3 linked regions of the Canis lupus familiaris genome follow. The protein of the gene in region 1 purifies or fractionates together with the protein of each later gene. This does not show direct contact. Links are inferred from orthologs where the notes say so. Each region holds a gene or a part of one and is shown in the gene's direction. Other genes may lie near its edges. The genes, in order: MTOR, FBXW7 and AKT1S1.

Region 1 (6,007 bases):
GAGGCTTCTGGCGCAGTAACTGCTTTAACCTCGTCGCATCTCTGAGGGCGGGGACAGTTAGTGTGCAGTCAGGCCCCTTTGGCAGCTGAGAACACTAAGGCAGGCGTGTGTGTTCCAACAGGATTTGTCCAAGACCCTCTTGATGTACACGGTCCCCGCCGTCCAGGGCTTCTTCCGTTCCATCTCCTTGTCACGAGGCAACAACCTCCAGGACACACTGAGGTATCAGAGGAGGGCGGGACCCCGCCAGGCCATGCGTGCAGCAGAACACAGAATACCGCGACGTCCCCTTCTGCTTCCCCACCCGATGAGCACGTCCCCGGGTAGCCGCTGAGCAGCCTGCACCTGCCAAGGCCGAGGGGGAGGCGTGGCCTGAGAGTGGGAGTGGGAGTGCGCTCGGCTCTGCAGGAGGCGGCGCAGCTGTTTGTGGCAGTCGTGCTGAGATCCCCTTAGCTTTTAGAGGCCACTTAGGCCGACACAAAGGGCACAGACTGACCGGTCGGCAGACGACGGGGTGACTAGGACAGCCAAGTCCTACGTTTGCCCCGTTGCCACGGGTCCACAGATGGCTTTCTGTATGTGCAAACATTGTCCGTGGACCGTCCCTGGGCTCATCTGTGAGATTTCTGAGCTCACGCCACGCTGATCCCTCTATTATCTCGAATAAAGTAAGCCTTCCCTTGGGATGCTCCTCCTTGTGTTGAGCCAAGTACTAACGACCATCGCCAACCACTGTCCTGACACCAGACAGGGGAACCGTGTCTGGGGCGGGGAAACCACTGATTTGAGGCCCCGCCAGTTATTCCTTTTCTTTTTTTTTTTAAAGATTTATTTATTTGAGACAAAGAGTGAGAGAGAGAGTGAGGGGGGGAGGGAGAGGTGGGGGTGGGGAGAGAAGCTCAAGTAAACTCACACTGAGTGTGGAGCCCATCTCTGGGTTTGATCCCAGGACCCTAAGATCATGACCTGAGCCAAAATCAAGGGTTGGGCGCCCAAGCAGCTGAGCCACCTAGATGCCCCTTCACCGATTAGTCTTTTTTCAAGTCTTAAAGATAGAAAACCAAACAGACAAAAGTGAGAAAGTAAATTTTCTGTGATTTTTCTCATTTTTCTTCTCCAGAGTCCTCACCTTATGGTTTGACTATGGTCACTGGCCGGATGTAAACGAAGCCTTGGTGGAGGGGGTGAAAGCGATCCAGATCGACACCTGGTTACAGGTGAGGCTGGCTCGGGTCTCCCCCCTGCTCTCTCCCCCTCGCATCACACGGTGTTTGGTGAACAGTGGGAAGAGGGGGCTCAGTCCCAAGGTCGAGACCCCGTATCTTCTTTAGTTTCTCCCAGAGAACTGAAGGGAGTGACCCGTTTCAGAGCTTAACAGCATCTCCCACAAACAAGTTTCAAGAGCGGGTCATTGCCCAGAAGCGTAACTAGTTGTTTCTGCATCTCACGCGCTGCGTACCGTGTCTTTCCGAATGCCAGGTTATACCTCAGCTCATTGCGAGAATCGATACGCCTCGGCCCTTGGTGGGCCGCCTCATTCACCAGCTTCTCACAGACATTGGCCGGTACCACCCCCAGGTATGTGGGCCCCCGGGGCAGTTTCTCCTCAAACCGCGGATCCGGATCCTCTTGATCCGGATCGCAGCCTTCCCTAGAGCTGCTCTCGAGACACAGTGCAGGAACGAGGAGCCAGGCATCCCGTCTGTCCGGCTGCCAGGCCCCGGCCCCGGGGCTTCCCTCAAGAGAAGGTGCCCCCACCCACCCCAAGGTTGAGTGGCCCCGGCCGGGTGGCCTCAAATGAGTGTCAGCAGCACCCTCTCCACCTCTCTTGTCCTCCCAAGAGTGAGAGTGTGCGAGGGTTCTTTCTGTGTCCGCCCCAGGCCCTCATCTACCCCCTGACCGTGGCCTCTAAATCCACCACGACGGCCCGCCACAACGCAGCCAACAAGATTCTGAAGAACATGTGCGAGCACAGCAACACCCTGGTCCAGCAGGCCATGATGGTGAGGCGGGGGGCAGTGCGGGGCTTTGCCGACCCACCACCTAGCCGACGTCTTCAGGGAGACTCTTCCTCACAACGGTGCTCCTGTCTCCAAGACGGGCCTTTCTGAGGGGGCTCATCGTCCGCCTTCCCTCCCTCCCCACTTTGGTCCAGGTGAGTGAGGAGCTCATCCGCGTGGCCATCCTCTGGCACGAGATGTGGCACGAAGGCCTGGAAGAAGCGTCACGTTTGTACTTTGGGGAGAGGAACGTGAAAGGCATGTTTGAGGTGCTGGAGCCCCTGCATGCTATGATGGAACGGGGCCCCCAGACTCTGAAGGAAACATCTTTTAATCAGGTAAGGGATAGGAAAGCACGGCGTGGCATGACCCAAAGCCCGTACCAGACCCCTTTCCCCCGGCCCTCGTGCTGACTTGAGTAAAACGTACTCTGACGGAGGTCGCAGAACATAGAAACCCCAGCAGTTTCGTTGTCACCAGCTTATGAGAACCCTCCAAGGCTTTCCCCGGAAAACCACAAGGTTCTTCCCGAGGTCGTCTTGCCTCTCCTTACCGCGCCCGGGAGCCATCCTGACGCGGGGGCCTCCAGGACTGGGCTGCACCCTTGCTGAGCCTGGCTGAGGGCCAGAGTCCGGCCGCTGCAGCGCGTGCCCGAGCAGTTGTGCTGTGTGCGTGGGGTTCACCTGCGGCTGAGTCTGCACCCTGCCTTCCCGCAGGCATATGGTCGAGACTTAATGGAGGCCCAGGAGTGGTGCAGGAAGTACATGAAATCCGGGAACGTCAAGGACCTCACCCAGGCCTGGGACCTCTATTACCACGTGTTCAGACGGATCTCCAAGCAGCTGCCTCAGGTAGGAACGTCCGGTTCCAGCAGCATTAACTGTCATCGCCCCTTCTCTTGCTGAGAGCGTCCTGGCCCTCACTGCGAAGCACCTGGTCTCACTGCTGTCTGCAGACGTGGGGATAAGACATTGCCACTAGCAATCCATTGAGAAGGACCTAGACTGCATTTACACTCCTCCCTGGAGGCAGAAAGCTAACCCCCGTGGTAATTATCCACAGCTCACCTCCCTGGAACTGCAGTATGTTTCCCCCAAACTTCTGATGTGCCGGGACCTTGAGTTGGCCGTGCCGGGAACGTACGACCCCAACCAGCCCATCATTCGCATTCAGTCCATAGCACCGTCCCTGCAGGTCATCACCTCCAAGCAGAGGCCCCGGAAGCTGACGCTCATGGGTAAGGACACGTGTGCTTCCGCCTCCTGCATCTCCCTCCCACCCTGGCTGAACCTCTCCCCACTTTTCTGAAATCACGGCTCGCCGTTCGTATCCCTCCTCTCCCGTGTCCGTGGAGAGGGAAATAGAGGTCCATGCATCCTCCTCCGGACTCCTGGTGCTCGGACCATTGTGCGTGCTTATGGGAAGCCTCACTGCCGTGCAGGGTGTGCAGCCTGGGCAGCTGGGGCAGCAGGCACTGCAGGGGACTGACATGGTGCAGCAGGTGTGGCAGGTGACAAGCAGGGCTGAAGAAAGGGCTCCTGGGCTCTTGAATGTTCTCTTTTACCATCAGGGTATCTCTCTGTGGGAAATGACTCTGTAAGAGAAACAAACTGATGTGGAAATGGGTTCTCATGGGAGCTCCGTGAGCACCTGGGCAGTTGCAGGACATCCAGATGCCCTGGCGGCCCTTTGAGGGCTCTCTCCTCTCGTACGGCTCATGCGTTTTAAATGCAGTAGTTACTCAGCACGGTTCGTCGTGGCACGAGTGACCGCCTCTCCGTGGGCCGGCATCTCCTGGGACGAACACACGGGTCAGTCGGGCTCTCCACGGTATTTGCTCAGAGACCCGGATGAAGGACCTGTTCCCAGGGAAGCTGTGAACAGAGTCAAGAGAACCCACAGTGGGAAGCTGTGACTCACGCCCCCGCCTGGCCCGAAAGGCCGGGGAGCCTGTTGAGAGCACACGACCTGGAAAGAGGCCATCGCCAGTAGTACAGCCCGGATGGGGGGACTCTGCTACCTTCTAGAACGGGAGCCCGGCCGGCTGACAGGGGCAAACCCTTGGCTTCTCCCTCTCCCACCCTCTGACCTCCCTCCCGCCAGTATCCCCGTTGGCCCAGCTGGGAAGGTGGGCGACCCGGTCTCTAGGGCTCAGGCTGCACAGGCCCCAGCAAGACCGAGAAGGGCAGACAGTGGCTTGTGAGGGAGCATCCAGAATGGCCTCCCTGTGCACACTCACGCCTGATCTTCATAGAACTGTTTTTATTTCATTGCTTTTTGAAGATTGTATTTATTTACTTGAGACAGAAAGAGCGCACAGGCAGGGGAGCAGAGGGAGACGGAGAAACAGACTCCCTGCTCGGAGTCCCTCTCAGGGCTCCATCCTGGGACCCGGGACCCGGGACCATGACCTCAGCGGACGGCAGGCGCTTACCTGCCTCAGCCCCCCGGGGACCCTGGACAGGGCTGTTTTTTATTGTATTTGTTTTTAATTTGACCGACATTTCATTGGGAACATCAAGAGCAGGGCCATTCTTTGCATCAGTTCTAGGGAACTTTCTTGCATTTGTGCGGAAATAGGGCTGGGTAGGGAACGTGTAGTCTCTGGGAGCTTGTGGGTACCGGGCTGGTTGTGCTAACTGCTCCCACCTTCCTCACAGGCAGCAACGGGCATGAGTTTGTTTTCCTCCTGAAGGGCCACGAAGACCTGCGGCAGGATGAGCGGGTGATGCAGCTCTTCGGCCTGGTGAACACCCTTCTGGCCAATGACCCAACGTCTCTTCGCAAGAACCTCAGGTATCCAGGACGCGGTGCTGCGTGGGGGTGGGCAGCGATCTGACCCGTCTTCTAGGGTTTCCTTACTTCCCATCCATGTGCTCACGTCCCTTCACGAAATCAGCTATAGACGAACGTACCTGACAGGAAGTCGTCAGTAGCCAAGGTGTCAAACACAACAAGAGGAATTATCCATACTTTGAGCGTACTTTCTAGGGAAATGCCTGAAACAGCCACCAGAAAGAGGGTCTGGAATGGAACAGCCCATGGCCACTAGACTAGAGATGCTGTGCATCTGGGGTGTTTCACTTTTCCCCGTCCGCCCTGCTCCCTTCCTCCTCTTCCTGTTAAGAACGTGGGTATTATGCTGGGAGGTTGTTTTGGCTTAGAAATCATCACGAGGCTGCTCCCCCGGGGCTGTGAGTTCATCAGGCAGGTTGAGGAGGCTGGTGGTGCTCAGCCCTGTGCAGGGTGCGTCCTTCAACCCGCTTCCGTGTGTGCTGAGTGGGCCCGTTTCCTGTCCCATAACCCCAGCATCCAGAGGTACGCTGTCATCCCCTTATCAACCAACTCGGGCCTCATTGGCTGGGTCCCCCACTGCGACACGCTGCACGCCCTCATCCGGGACTACAGAGAGAAAAAGAAGATCCTTCTCAACATCGAGCATCGCATCATGTTGCGGGTATGTGATGAGGCTGCCAAACCCAGTGCCTTAACCCCAACTCCCAAGTTGAGAAATCTGAACGCAGCTGCTCGTCGTTCTTCTGTGTGTACAACACCGAAGAATCTGTTTGGGAGAATTGTCTACTGAAGGAGATTCAATGAAGTGAGTCCTAAAGCAGATCACCTCTGAGACACAGAACCCTAAGGCCCAGAAACTGGGTTTTCAGCATTCGAGGGGAGACTGGACGGTGTTTATCAAGCAGCGTGTGTGGACCAAACACCTAATGTATACAGGGCACTGGTCACACGAGGAAATGACGTTAGTAGGTAGGCAGGTCCTAAGAAAGAGACTGGTGTGTTACTCAGAACCCTGATGCCTCCAGGGCTCTCATTCATACCAGCAGGCTGTACTCCGGCCTGTGCTCGGGTGGGCCCTGCCTGCTGACTTACCCGGAGCCCCTGGCACTTCCCGTGGTCAGCAGGTTCGAGGGGCCACACCCGTGTTTTTCCTTTCGCACCATTCCTACTTCCTTTTCCTTTGGACTCGGGTGGTGCCATCAGAACCCAGC
Region 2 (6,651 bases), on another chromosome or scaffold:
ATGACAACGCAGTAAAATCCACAGTAGCTTAAACAGGATAGTTAGCCTGGCTCTTGGAACTTCGCATCAAGGACACCTGGGCAAGTTCTGCTTTGTGAGTCTCTTCTTGCTTCTGCAACACCCACTTCCCCACTCCTATCACTCTTTCTGCATCATTTTAATAAAAGTGAGCCCTTGGGTTCGCCCAGTTAGAACCTTCTTTGGTCTACTGTTTGCATATGATGCTGGTAGAAACCCTGAGCTTCCAAAATCTGCCTATAAAAACTCGCTCCTTAGTTCCCAAAGCGGAAAGACTTGTAACATCCATTCATGCTGCTTCGGGAGCAGGTGGGGTGTGCCAGGGTCCGGCGGCGGAACTCTGGAATCTGCGTCCTTCCATCCTTGCTGCTGCTTTCTCATCTCAGTCTCCACGCTATTCACCCGGACAGGTTCCAGGCAGATTCCGAGGATTCTGACACTTTCATCTCAAAATTTCCTTTCCTGGAGAACTAACTACACTTTACAACTTCGTGAGTTTTACTTGAATTTACTTTCCAGGGTAACATCTGTAGGAGAAGCTGCGTAAGAGTAACAATATTTATTTGAGAAAGGAAATAGCCTTTGGATTAGACCTGAAACGCAGGCCAACGTTTTCTCGATGACGGTTGTGGACACTTACCTAACGACCAGAATCAGCTCTCCAAAAGCTTCACAACAAGCAAGAATGATTCCTAAAATGGAGACACTACTAACATCTCCTCCTGAAAAAAGTCAAAAATCTCTCCACAGTCTCCGGGAGGATGGTCCCCTTCCCTCGTCCCGGCCAGTCGCCCCCGCCCCCCCCCCTCCCCCCTTTGGAGCATAAGGCTCAGATGGTGACTCGGGACTCAAACCACAGCCCTACGTCCCCCGGCGGGGTGGGGGTGGGGGTGGGGGTGGGGGCGGAGAAGGGCTGTCTGGCCGCTCTGGTCTCTCCGACGCTACGCAGCTTCCGGAGCGCTCGCGCCCCATCGAGTACTCTGCGCTCCGCGGGTGCCCGGGGGGAGGCGTCCATTCATCCCCGAGCATGTGCTCGGCCCGACCGCACGCTGCCGGGTGTCGGGGGCCGGGCCTCGCCCCGCGCCCGCGCCCCGCGCAGGGGGAGGGGGCGCTCGCTCCCCGGAGCAGGTGCAGCGGGTCAGGCGGCGGGGCAGCCCGCGCTCAGTCCGGCTTCCCGAGGCCCGTCGGGGCTGGATGCCTCACCTTCGGGTGGTGCGCGCCCGAGCATGGCCGCGCGGGCCGGGCCTTCCTCCTCGCTCCCAAAGGAGCAGCCACCGCCTGCCCCGAAGGAGACCGCTGCGGAGCGAGCTCTCCCCGCCGCCGCCGCCGGGTCAGGGGTAAGATCAGGCGGCAGCTTAGGCTCCCCTCGGCTCCTCCCCTTCCTCTCCTCGGTTCTGACGCGGCCGCAGAGGCGGCGGCGGCGGCGGCGGCAGGTCCCGCGGCCCGAGGCGCACCCACCCGCTCGCGGAGCCCCGACTTCCTCTTCCCTTCCCGCGTCATCAGAGCGCGCCGCAGTCACCCAGGGCGGGGTGCCTAGAACCGGGGGAAAAAAAAAAAGGCCCGCGGAGGAAACGTCCCGGCGGAAAGAAAAGGGCGGGGGTGAGGGGAGCGGTTGCTAGGTGACTTGCGTCATCCGGCCGCGCCGCTTTCCTCCCGCCCCTCTCTGGAGTGAGGCGAGAGCCCCGCACAGAGCGAGCGAGACAGCGAGCGGAGCTCCGGGCGCCGCCGCCGCCGCCGCGGAGAGCGTGAGAGCGAGCGAGCGTCCGCGGGACCCGGCCCCCGGGCACCGGCCGCCGCCGAGACCTCCGTCCTGACCCGGACCGGCGGGAGCCGCGGCCGCCCCTCTTCTCCCCCCCTCGCCTTCCCGGCCGGCAGCCGCGGCTGCACACGCCGGAGCCCGAGCCCGAGCCCGAGCCCGAGCCCGAGCCGGAGCCGGAGCCGGCGGCTGGGGGGCAGGGAGGCGGCTACCTCGGGCCGGGACTCGTCAGCCGCTCCGCGCTGCGAAGACGCCGAGGACGGGCCGGAGCTTCCGTCTCGTCCCGGGCCGCGGGGCGAGGGACCCCCGACGTGTAGGGAGGGGGTCCCGGCCGCAGCGACACATGCGGGAGCCGGGAGCGGGGGCGGCGCCGAGCGGAGCCGGCCGGGTCCCCCCCCTCGCCGCCGCCTCGGCCGCCCGCCCGGGGCCGTAGCATCTGGCCCCGGAGTGTATGAGCCGGGGGCCCGAGCTCAGCAGCCACCCCCCGGCCGGGGGGGCGGGGACCCCGATGTGAGGCGGCGGCCCGGGCGCGGCGGGGAGAGCGGGAGCGGCGCCGCCGTCCTTCCCTCGCCTTCCCCCCGTCCTCAGCCCCCTCGCGGGGGGGTCCTCTCCCTCGGCCAGCCGCCGGCCCCCCGGCTCCTCGGCAGGACTCCGGGAGGAGTTCCCAGAGCCCCCTCCCCCGCCCCAGCCCCGAGGGCGGCGGGGCCGGGGGGGACCCGGGGGGCCGGCCGCAGCCTCAGCGCAACAGGAAAACTTGGGAAGAGCAGAATCTGGAGCCTCGCCGACGGGACTGTCCCGGGAGACGCGGCCCGGGGCGGGCAGGAGACGCAGCCTGAAGACACCCAGGAAGAGGGCGGCAGGAGGGAAGCGGGGCGGCCGCCGCCTCCCGGGCCCCGGCAGCGCGGAAGAGCCCGGCTGGCCGCCCGGCTTGGCGCGAGCACCGCTCCGCCCTCACAGCGCCGGAGCCTTCCGCGGCCGCCGCCTCCCCGACGGAGGACGGGCGCCGGCCCGGTTCGCAGCGCCGCGGCTCTCCCGCGAAGTGTGAGTGGCCCGGGGAGAGGGCGCCGGGGCGGGGGGCGGGGGGGGGGGGGCGGGTTGGCGCTGCCGGAGTGGGGCGCGCGTTCGCGGGGTGCGGGTGCGGGTGCGGGTGCGCGTGTGGATGAGGCGCGGTGCATCTGTATCTTTACCGCGGGGGAGAAGGTTTGGGCCGTCCTGGGTCTCGGGACGCTTCACCTCTTTGTACGGGTAACGCGCAAGCTTACAGGTCCCTGTCTCAGGGGAGTTCTGTCTTTGTCCAGAGCGGACACTTGCACCTTTCTGGCCAGAAATCGGCAAAAGGAAATTGAGGAAGCCAAAGCATATGTGCACACAAAGGACATCTCTGTAATACACCTTTTCCTGGTGCACCGGGTGTGAAACAGCGCTGTGGTTTTTGTTTCGGGGCAACTCTTAGGGTTCTTGGGAGGGAACCTTTTACCCTGTGAACCCCTGAATTTTACTTTCGGTAAAATTCCTTTCTTGTTTTTGCAGTCTTCCTTGAGAGATTTTCATTTCAGTACCTATTGGTACAGGAGTTGTTTTTTTTTTTTTTTTTTTTTCTTCTTCTTCTTCTTCTTCTTCTTCTTCTTTTTTTTTTCTTTCTTTCTTTATTTCTTTTTTAACCTTCTCATTTCCTGGGTCCAACTCCTGCGTGTCAGGATACTGTAAGAGATTTCAGGTACTCAGGAAGTTGACTCTTACCAATCATGACTTACTTGGGGGAAGAGCATCTAGTACTTCAAGCAGTTTATAAAAGTTGTTACCTTTTTCCCCCTACCCAAATGCCTTTTCTTTTCTTTTCTTTTTTTAATTTTTGAGTAGCCTATCTTAATTGCCAGCACTTTTTTTTTTTTTTTTAATTTGGCAGGATGACTTGAAACTTTGCTTGTTTGAGTTATCCTTACTTTGCTACCAAACAGGGAGAAACTTTTTGATATTTGATTATTTGAAGAGTGATTCTTTTCTCTTCCCTTCCATTATTAGAAGGTGAGGTTTAGGTATCCCGTCAAAGTGCCCAGGCGAGGTGCAGGAAAGTAAGGACCATTCCATGTATTTAAATAGACCTTAAGTGTTAAGCATAGGGTGGAATTTTATTTAACAGAACATAGGCAGTACCATACTGAGAATTGTGACTCCTCCAGACAACAGTGTAGGCTCACTACCTGTGAAGCCGCTGCTGAGAGAAGCTTTGTGGGAATGAATGAAAGGCTGGGATTGTCTGTGCTAACTTCTCCATTCAGGATCTTGATTTTACATATATTTAAAACTTTCTCAAATAGGGTTTTCGTTTGTACTTTTTCGAGGTAGTGGGTTATACAAGTGTACTAGCCCCTGAAATATTTGACATTTCATTTATTTATCCCAAACCCGTCTCTTTAAAGTCCCAAGGCACCTCCAGCGTTTTTGTTTTGAGAATGCTAGGACACGCTAGAGTTCATCTTTTCCTGGTTTTTTAGATTTCGATTGTTCCTCTTTATTTACCATCATCATGCCTAGTTTTCTGTGTCAGTCTTAGAATGATTTCTTTGATCCCTTGATCGTTTTGCCTCTCCTGGAACTTTTCCAGCTGTTTTGTTTCTCTTTATATATTTGTGCTTGGGATGCTTTTGTAAGGAACCTTAAGTTCTATCTATTTTAAATGGGTAATGACATGAAAATTCTGATGAGTAGATGTAATGTTAGATGTTGAATCAAAAGCAAATGTCTCTGGATCTGTTATCTTATTTTGAGACCTTGAGGAAGTCCTGTATCCCATGTTTCACAAAAGATGGGAGGAAGAGAAATCTAGTCTGGGCATAGGCTGTTTTTTGGGGAGGAAGGGAAGCCATACCTAGCAAACTATAACTTGAGTGTAGATTTGTACTCTGTCGAAGTTGCTTACTAACTTTAAGACTTCTTTTTTATTGCTTTGACTGGAGATTGGTTAAAAAGCACGGTAATGTTTTATTGTATGTTTGGGTAGCAAAGAAACAGCAAAGTATTTGGGGTCCCTGCCTTTGAGATGCTTTTACTTATGGCATAGGCTATGAAACATAAATTCTACAAAATTGTAGGAAAAGGGGGGAATGAGCCAATATTTATTTACAATCATTATATGTCATACTACTCTGGTGCCTTATAGGTATAAATGTATTTGTATATTTTCCATTAGCAAAATGTTGGTGTTGGACTATACAAACCCAATTGGAATGTCTGAACCAAATCTGGGAAAGAAGGTCTCTCTTAGGAAGAAAGATACAGGTGGAGGTAGTGTTTAAGACTTTTGGAATTGGGGGGTGTGAGGGACAAATGTAATCAGGAAGTTAGCTTGATGGGAATATGGATGGAGGTTGTTAAGTGGGCTTAGAGTCAGTTTGTGTTTGTGCAGTTACATGTATACAGCCCAAAGGAGCAATTGAGAACAATGTTCCGAGAGGGTAGTTTTAGGTGATTGAGGAGAAATTGTATTTTTAGTTCAAGAGGCATTATACCTGGAGTAGTTTTGTTTTTCTAGTGAACCAACATTTTAAACCATGGTCATCAAAGAGCTCTACAACTGGAGGAGTGAAAAAGGAGATGTTCTAGTTTGGTGCTAGTGGTTTCTTATAGAAAATAATTCAGAAATAGGGCAATGGACTTTGTTTTTGACATTACATTTTAGGGCAAAAAGTTGGTGCTGATGCAATCTGAAGACAGAAAAATAGTTAAACTAATGAGTGATATGCTGAAAATGTAAAGTTAGGAGTCATTTTCACAGTATTAAGGTTTCTCAGGAGAGCTGAGAAGAGAATAGAGAGCCAAAAAACCCGTGTATTTTTACTTTGGCGGGGAAGGGAATCTGTTTAAAGTTAGCAAAGATATAGTAAGAACAGAGAATGGATGAGACTCTCCCGAAACACATATTTTAGAAGTGTGTAAGATTTGAAGTTCAAAAGGGAGGAACAGGCTTTAAACATGGCTACCACTTCAGTGTTTGGACATGTGAGTCTATATTTGTGAAGTAGCTAACAAGCTTTCTGTAGAGTATATAGGTCCCTTGAGATTAAGTTCAGAAGAGTATATAGGATTTCACAGTTAAGGAACTTCTATATAAAAGGACAGGTTTGTTTTCATAAAATTCATGCTTTTAAAGTTTGCCCAGCATTATTATCCTAAGTTTGGTCTTTAACATGACGAGTGAAGTAGGGCTAAAAATAGCTGGCAGAGAAGGCTGCTTCCCCTGCTTGCAGTTGATGTGTCTTTGTGTCCCATACAATGGAGGGGATATCCCTGTGTTGGCACAGCAGTGCTGAAAATGCCTTTTTTTTTTTTTAAACCTTTTTATTAAAAAACAAACAGAAACAACTTGGCATCGACAAAATTCATCTGTCTTTGAAGCATGAGACACTGGAAGATTTTTTTTGTGTGTGTGGTGAAACCTGCAGCTAATGGGCCTTGTTTTTAGTGTTGACTCTAACAAAGAGTAAGGATTGTAAGGTCAGTAATATATACGCATCCACACTTTTTGTATTCTTTAATTCATTCAGTTTGTCACCTTCCTACTAGCTTCTTTGGTCTCTTCTTAAGAGTTTAATTCAAATGGCAGAACCCTCTGGGGAAGAGATGTATTTAGGTAGGGAGCCAGATCTCAATTGATCCTAAGATGAAGGTACAGGACTGAAATATGTGCCATATGGGTGCGTTCTCCACCCCTCTATTTTCCGCAACATATTTTATGCAGGTGAAACCATGTTTAGATTAACTTTAAGGACAGCATTTTCAGGTTGACATGATTTACTAGTAAAGATAGTGGGAAAGGTGTGACTCTGGTAGGAGGGAGTGGTAACCTCATTGTGCTTTGCCTTGGCACCTTTGGGGTT
Region 3 (6,689 bases), on another chromosome or scaffold:
CAGATACAGGAGCTGCAGCTAAATCATTAAAAAATTACCAGGGCACGCAAAGGAGGGTCTCAACAATCTGGGCCCCGACATTGCCAGCCAAGGCCAGCAGCCTCTTTGAGTGTCTTATAAAATGAGAAAAATAAACTTGTCTGTTAACTTGTCTTCCGCCAGATTTTGTGTTCCCTGGAGCTAAGCGTATTCTGCGTGTGTGCCTTTTCCACTGCAGTCTACCTCAGCGAGGTTTTTTTTTTTTTTTTTTAAGATTTTTTTTTTTTTAATTTTTATTTATTTATGATAGTCACAGAGAGAGAAAGAGAGAGGGGCAGAGACATAGGCAGAGGGAGAAGCAGGCTCCATGCACCGGAAGCCCGATGTGGGATTCGATCCCGGGTCTCCAGGATCGCGCCCTGGGCCAAAGGCAGGCGCCAAACCACTGCGCCACCCAGGGATCCCAGGATTTTATTTATTTCTTCATTAGAGACACACAGAGAGAGGCAGAAATGTAGGCAGGAGAAGTAGGCTCGCGAGACTTGATCCCAGGACCCCAGGATCACAACCTGAGCCAAAGGCAGACGCTCAACAACTGAGTCACTCAGGAGCCCCCCTCAGTGGGTTTGTGTTAGTCAAAAATAAGATTGCCGAAGAGGACAGTCACATTTTCAAGAGAGGCACTCAGCCGACCTGCGAAGCTGACAAAAAACGCAGAATGCTCGATGCTTCCTCCTCAACCCTGGCTTGAGCAGAATTCTGGAATCTCCATTTGTCTCACACACACATACACACCCTCGCCAGGTTATTCAAACCCCCACTGCCCCAAGTGAGGCTTCATTCTCTCTACCCCTGGTACACCATTCTAACCTTCTTCCTGACCTCCCTGCCTCCAACTTCCCTCTATTCGGACCTGCCCATTCCCAGCACGGTCTCTCAGGAGAGCTTTCCACACCCACACCCTTCTCCTCCCATGGTTCCCCGAGGCCTCTAGAACATCATCCAAGCTTCCCAGTCGGGCATTTCAGAATCAACCATCTTTCCAGCAAACTGCTCTACAGAGACACCCCATTTCCTCCTGCCATCCCTGAAGTATTTTCTTGCTCCCTTATCCTTACGGTTCCAGCGCAATGTCTGCTTCCTCCAGAAAGGGGCAGGCCTCTGGAATCAGAGAGTCTGGTATCAAACTCAAGTTCCAACACCTCCTAGCTTTTTGATCTTGCAAAAGGAACTTCCAATCATTGTGCCTCAGTTTCCCAAAGTAGAATGGGGGTGAAGACTGAGGCAGGGTCCAAGTCAGACTCCTCTCTGGGTCCCAGCACAGAGCCTGGTGACAAAAAGCCTCAGGAGCCTCTAAGAACAAGAAGGGCAAAGTCTGGCACCCAGGGTAGGAAGGTGTCCTGGGAAGTGGGTGAGCCACCTGGGTCAGGGTGTGTTTCCTCTCTGAAGGGGACATGCCACACCCCTTCAGGCTCTTGTGGACTGAGAGCTCGTGGAACCCGAATCCACAGGCCACGCCGTCCTCTCGCACCCTGGCAGGGCTCTCCTAAGAGCAAACAGATGAGGGGGCAGCTGTCCCCTAGGCTACAAATCTCATGGTGTCAGCTTTCTTTTGATCGGGCATCTTCAGCTCCATTTTACAGACAAGAGGAAACCAAGGAGCAAAGAGAACCTAGATCCCAACAAGGATCACACAAGCTCCAAAAGTAAGTCTGGGTTTGCATCCAGGTCCTTCAAACATCTTCCACTGCCTGAACCTGGAAAAAAGCGAGTGGAGAAACGAGAAGAGAGAAAAGCCTACCTTCTTGGAGAAGAGAATTTGGGTGGAATCTCCAGCCTCCTCTACAGGAACCCAATGCAGGAGAACATCGCTGTCCTGAGGAAAGAAAAGAGGAATTAGAGAGACTCCCCTCCAATCACCGCAAGCCGTATTTCTGTACTTCTTCCCCGGCCCGGACCCTCAGGCTTACAAAGCCCCCCTTATACCCCCAGTCCGCGCTCCCTGCCTTCTTAAGGTCCCATCGTGACCTCCTAGATCATACTCCTATAGACGCCGCCTCCATCTCGCCCAGGGCCCGCCGGAGCCCTGCTCCCTCCTGGCCCACCTTCTCCACAACGCGGATGACGCCAGCGATGAGGGAGTCCGGGTCCTGGTGCTTCTTGGCGCTGGTGTGCAGATACACACCACCCTTCTCAAACACCACCTGCGGACACAAATCGGTGAGGGGCGGGACCCAAGCGCAGGACAGCCAGGGGGCGGTGCCCAGAGGAACGTCCCAGCCGGCGGGGGCGGGGCCACAAGGTAAGGGTCTTCCCTAGGGCAGCCGAGGGGAGGGTGACAGAGTATTTATAAAGGAATGGTGTCTTTGCTCCGGCTCAGCCGGGCTCCCAGAGCTCCGGCAGGGCGTTGGGCGAAGCCGACTACCAGAGGGCGTCGCTTCGCATCCCCAGGAGGGAAAGAACGCGTTCCCAGTGCTTACCCTGTAGCCGGCTCCCTCCATAGCCGCGGCCGAGGTCCCACTGCCCCGGCCCTCTCCCTTTCCGGGTCACCGTGCTGTCACATCCGGATAGGAGACTCCCCTCAAGCCTGGACAGTGGTAGCGCCCTTGCCTGTTCTAGAACAGGAGTGGACGTAACCACCTTTCAGAACGGGGTGGCTGAACTTGAACCACGAGGGTGTAAGTCACATGGCACGCACGGGGAAGGAGGGGCAGGCCAGCGAGAGTGCGCATGCGCAGTGCCGCTTCCCTTACCATGGAGTAAACAAGGGGGAGGATCCAAGGGCTCCACCCCCTCGCCCCAGCGCTCTCCGAAACACCTCCTTCTTTCTCCATATTGTATACTGGCATCGAAGCCAAGGAGATTCCATTTTGCTCGAGGGCACGGCCAAAGCTTGTCAGCTGCGGCCATGTTAATGCGGGGCAGTCCCATCTCTCTGAGGGGCGCAACAGCAAGGTCCTGGAAAACAGACGGGTAAAGGAAAAGAAGGTGAGAGGAGGCGTACGTCACGAGAGGTGCTGAGGGACTTGGGTTAACGGGATGAAGCCGTCAGTATCCCCGGGTACGAAGCGGACCCAGTCGAATTCCTGAGTCACCGTCGGGAGGCGGCGGTGTAGGCCGCCATATTGAAGCCTGGCAAAGCGAAGCAAAAAAAGTTGCCATATTGGATCTTCCCCAGCATTGGTGCTGAAAAGGGGGATAGGCTGGAGGGAGAGTCCATGTACGCTTTGGGCAAGTGATGCTAGGATGGTTGCCATGTCGTTAATGGGCACTACTTTCCTCCATTTCTGTGGAAGAAGTTGACAATGGGTGAGGGGCGTCAGGTCGCTGGCCTTAGTTTACTGTGGTCCTGAGAATACACGTGCCGACGGCCGTATTTCTTAGCAAATCGAAATGGTCTTGGCTTGTTTCCGAGCAAGCTGAAGCCTTTCTTTCACCATCTTTCTTATGGGCACCCTGCTGTCGCCACTGTCCCACTGTGATCCGGTGATGTCCCCGTGGTCATTATGGTCTCGGGCGGCCCCGATAAGGGAGGCGGAGTGTGCAGCATGGAGGAGGGCCAACCACGCGGAAGTGACGCGAGGCGCCGCCATGTCTTTTGAGGGCGGCGACGGCGCCGGGCCGGCCATGCTGGCTACGGGCACGTGAGTGGAGGCGGCGTTGTGAACCGCGGTGTGGGGAGGATTTGGCCGTCCGGAGGAGAGGGGCGCTGGGAGGGCGAGCCGCTCGCGGGAGGGGTATGGCCTGAGTAGATCAGAGGGCAGAGATCTTCCAGCGACCCTACGCTGAGCGCTAGGAAGGGGTAGCCCGCGGGAACCGTTGTGTCTCACTGGAGGCAAAACCTAGACAGACTTATCCTCCGGTCTGCAGACCCACTAGGATCCTTGCCTTGGCGTGGACCATGTCCACAGGGTCTGGGGGTTGCTCGGGGGGACTCGGGGCTCCCCTCACCCGTCCAAAGGCGGGACTTCCGGTCCTGGCCCCCCACCTGGGCGGGATTTCCTGTTTTCTTCCTAGAGAAGTGGGTCCTCCCTGGACCCCCGGGCGAGGTGGGGAGAAGGTTTCTGAGAGGTCGAGGAAGAGCCCAGGCCTTCACCTTTCCCCCGGCCTCGCGGGGTGGGGGCTGGGGGGCCACCCTCGAGTTTCTCCCACTTTGGGGCGGGGGTGCACTGCCAATTTGACAGGTGGTCGGAAGGGGGCTTAATTAGCATTCCTCCTTGCGTGGTGGACTTTGCCTCTTTCCTCACCTCTTCCTAGAGTTACTTCTTTCAGTTCACCTCCTCATCTCATCCTAAAGGGCCAATTACCTTAGCTTTCCCCTCCCCCTCCTCTGGGGGACAAGTCTCACCTCTCTCCCTAATCCTAGGCTCCTCAAATTGGTTGGCTGAGGACCCTCCGTCCATCTCTGAGCTCCTTAGAGGATACAAGACTTCCTCCAGCAGCTGAAAGGGTAGAGTCTCCCCTGGTCTTGGCCACTCTACTTTTAAACAACTAATGCCAGAGAGCCCCCAGGCCTTGGCAGAGAAGTTGAGTTGCCCTCCTTGTATTTGCCCAGTTCTCCTCCTCTTTACAGTGGGAGGACCCTCACACCCACTCACCCCCATTACACTCTTTTCAATCCTGTAACTACTCTAAGATCTAGGACAGAGAGTTTAATCCTGATGTCCCAGAGATGTGAAAGCCCTAGGCCTAGCACTGCCAGGCTGTGTGACCTTGGGCCAGTCATTTCCCTGCCCTGAGCCTTGGTTTCCTCCTTCTGGTAGGTGAGACCCTGAGCACTTCTCAGTTCTATTGGATTTTGGAGTCAGGCAAACAGCAGAGTCAGCCCTGCTCTGACCCATTTAACTTCTGGGACTCTGACCAATGCCTTAGGCTGTCTGAGCCTCACTTTCTCCATCTGAATGTAAACCTTTCCTGATAAGGAAGGCAAGATGGCATTTGGGATTAAGAACAGGCTCTCCTCTCCAGCCCCTTTTACCTCATCGAGATACTGAATCTCCCTAAGCCCTTGATGTGCAACCATGAAATAGGGTAATAACAGCCCCTGCCTCATAGGGTTGGGGAGAAGGTAGCATGAGAATGGTGATGATCCATTTGCATCCCTGCCTGGCATGTGGGAAGTGCAGGGTGAGTTTGCCATGGGGTCTGTCAGGAATGGTGCTGGTTGTGACCTCACTGTGTGTGGCTTCCAGCAAGGGCTTTGTACTCTATGGGCCTTGGCTGTCTCATTAGTGAGGTAACAGCTCCCACCTTAGTGGGTCAGGTGGGAGGTGAAATGAGAGGTGTAGACTCCCTACACAGAGTCAGTGCTCAGCAAACACTGGTTCATGTGATTATAAGTTGAAAAGGGCCTGCACATTGAAATCAAATAACCCTGGCTGGACTAGAACCTTGCTTGAATTCCTCCAATGTTGGGGTGCCCCCTACCTCCCTGAGGAGGCTTCTTGGCTTCCCAGCAGTCCTGGTTTAACCACTTTGATTTACAGGAAGAAGAAAATGAGACACAGAGAGGGCCAGTCAGTGGTCCAAGGTCACACAGCAGGTTTGAGATGGCCGGAAGCCAGCCCACTTGCCCTTGCTCTTTTCTCTCTCTCTCTCTTCTTTAAGTTTGTTTATTTATTTAAATAATCTCTACACCCTTTGTGGGGCTCTTGATTACAATCCCAAGATCAAGAGTTGCATGCTCTTCCAGTTGAGCTAGCCAGGCACCCCAACCCCTTGTTCTTTTCATTTCATAAGTAGATGCATCCAGTAGATTGTCTGCTTAGGACAGACCTGTTCTGGGGTACAGATCCCCGACCTTGGGGAGCTCAGATGTGTGATGGAGGAGGCAGACAGGTACAATTGTCACAAGCTCAAATGACAGTGAGGTATAATGGATGTAGCCCAGGGCATTGTGGGTCTAGGGAAGGCATCTGGCAGAAAAGTCTTGTAGGAAATACAAAATTTCATGGATGGAGTCTAGGCGCAGAGAGCAGCTTGCACACCATTTTCTGCTCCATCCCTGGTCTCTGAGGCCTGTCAGGTGCTGGGCAATGCTGGCGGCTCAGAGATTAATCCCATGGGCTCCCCCTCAGGTGGCTCCACAGTGGCTGGGGAGATGGAGGTGGATCCAGACAGTACTCCCCATGGGAATATGTGCTAGAATGGAAGGACTCTCAGACATTGTAGGAGTCCAGAGAGTGGGGACTGAGCCCATCTGGGATGAGGGGAAGCTCCTTCCACGCTAGGGTGAGAGAAAGGTCAACAAGTAATCAGGGAACAAGTTATCCAGGTATAGGGGGACCTGGTATAGGGGAACTATTTAACTGCAGGTCTGAGGGCTCAGAAGTCTGGAAGGTTGTGAAGCTGAGTGCAGAGCCGGGGTTACGACCATGTCCTGGGGATACTAGGGAGAGGCAAGGGCAGTTCCAGTGTAGGAGGACCCCAAGGGGCCCGAACTGGAGGCTCAGAGGTTCAGGAAGAGGCTGGAATGATTGTCCCGCAGAAAAAGAATGCAGGCGAGGCATATAACTTCAAATCTTCTATAAGCTGCATTAAAAAAGTCAAAGGAAAACAGATAAAAGTCATTTTCGCCTTATATCAACTAGCCATTATATCTGAGATGTCATCTTTTCCACATGTAATCAACCTCAGACTGCCAGTGAGATCTCTGACATCCAACCTTTTTTGTCCCAAGTCTTCTAAAATCCAGTGTGGGTTTCATACTC

What was found.
Region 2: the proteins of MTOR (region 1) and FBXW7 purify together in Homo sapiens (affinity purification with western blotting; 9 studies listed by BioGRID and IntAct, with this or other methods). This does not show direct contact. The link is inferred for Canis lupus familiaris from reciprocal best matches to the Homo sapiens genes MTOR and FBXW7.
Region 3: the proteins of MTOR (region 1) and AKT1S1 purify together in Homo sapiens (affinity purification with western blotting; 8 studies listed by BioGRID and IntAct, with this or other methods). This does not show direct contact. The link is inferred for Canis lupus familiaris from reciprocal best matches to the Homo sapiens genes MTOR and AKT1S1.

Annotation. Positions count from the first base shown.
Region 1 is NC_049223.1:84,397,217-84,403,223, forward strand, and holds part of MTOR (serine/threonine-protein kinase mTOR), read left to right. Parts: intron 1-121; coding exon 122-222; intron 223-1,120; coding exon 1,121-1,217; intron 1,218-1,479; coding exon 1,480-1,578; intron 1,579-1,880; coding exon 1,881-2,003; intron 2,004-2,155; coding exon 2,156-2,338; intron 2,339-2,716; coding exon 2,717-2,851; intron 2,852-3,062; coding exon 3,063-3,237; intron 3,238-4,660; coding exon 4,661-4,796; intron 4,797-5,309; coding exon 5,310-5,457; intron 5,458-6,007. UniProt on the Homo sapiens protein: Serine/threonine protein kinase which is a central regulator of cellular metabolism, growth and survival in response to hormones, growth factors, nutrients, energy and stress signals.
Region 2 is NC_049236.1:50,769,780-50,776,430, reverse strand, and holds the start of FBXW7 (F-box/WD repeat-containing protein 7), read left to right. Parts: upstream 1-2,731; 5' UTR 2,732-2,815; intron 2,816-6,651. UniProt on the Homo sapiens protein: Substrate recognition component of a SCF (SKP1-CUL1-F-box protein) E3 ubiquitin-protein ligase complex which mediates the ubiquitination and subsequent proteasomal degradation of target proteins.
Region 3 is NC_049222.1:107,359,525-107,366,213, forward strand, and holds the start of AKT1S1 (proline-rich AKT1 substrate 1), read left to right. Parts: upstream 1-2,755; 5' UTR 2,756-3,426; coding exon 3,427-3,623; intron 3,624-3,631; exon of another isoform or gene 3,632-5,521; intron 5,522-6,689. Other genes in the region: TBC1D17 (TBC1 domain family member 17), read right to left, coding at 1,781-1,855, 2,085-2,183, 2,460-2,480. UniProt on the Homo sapiens protein: Negative regulator of the mechanistic target of rapamycin complex 1 (mTORC1), an evolutionarily conserved central nutrient sensor that stimulates anabolic reactions and macromolecule biosynthesis to promote cellular biomass generation and growth.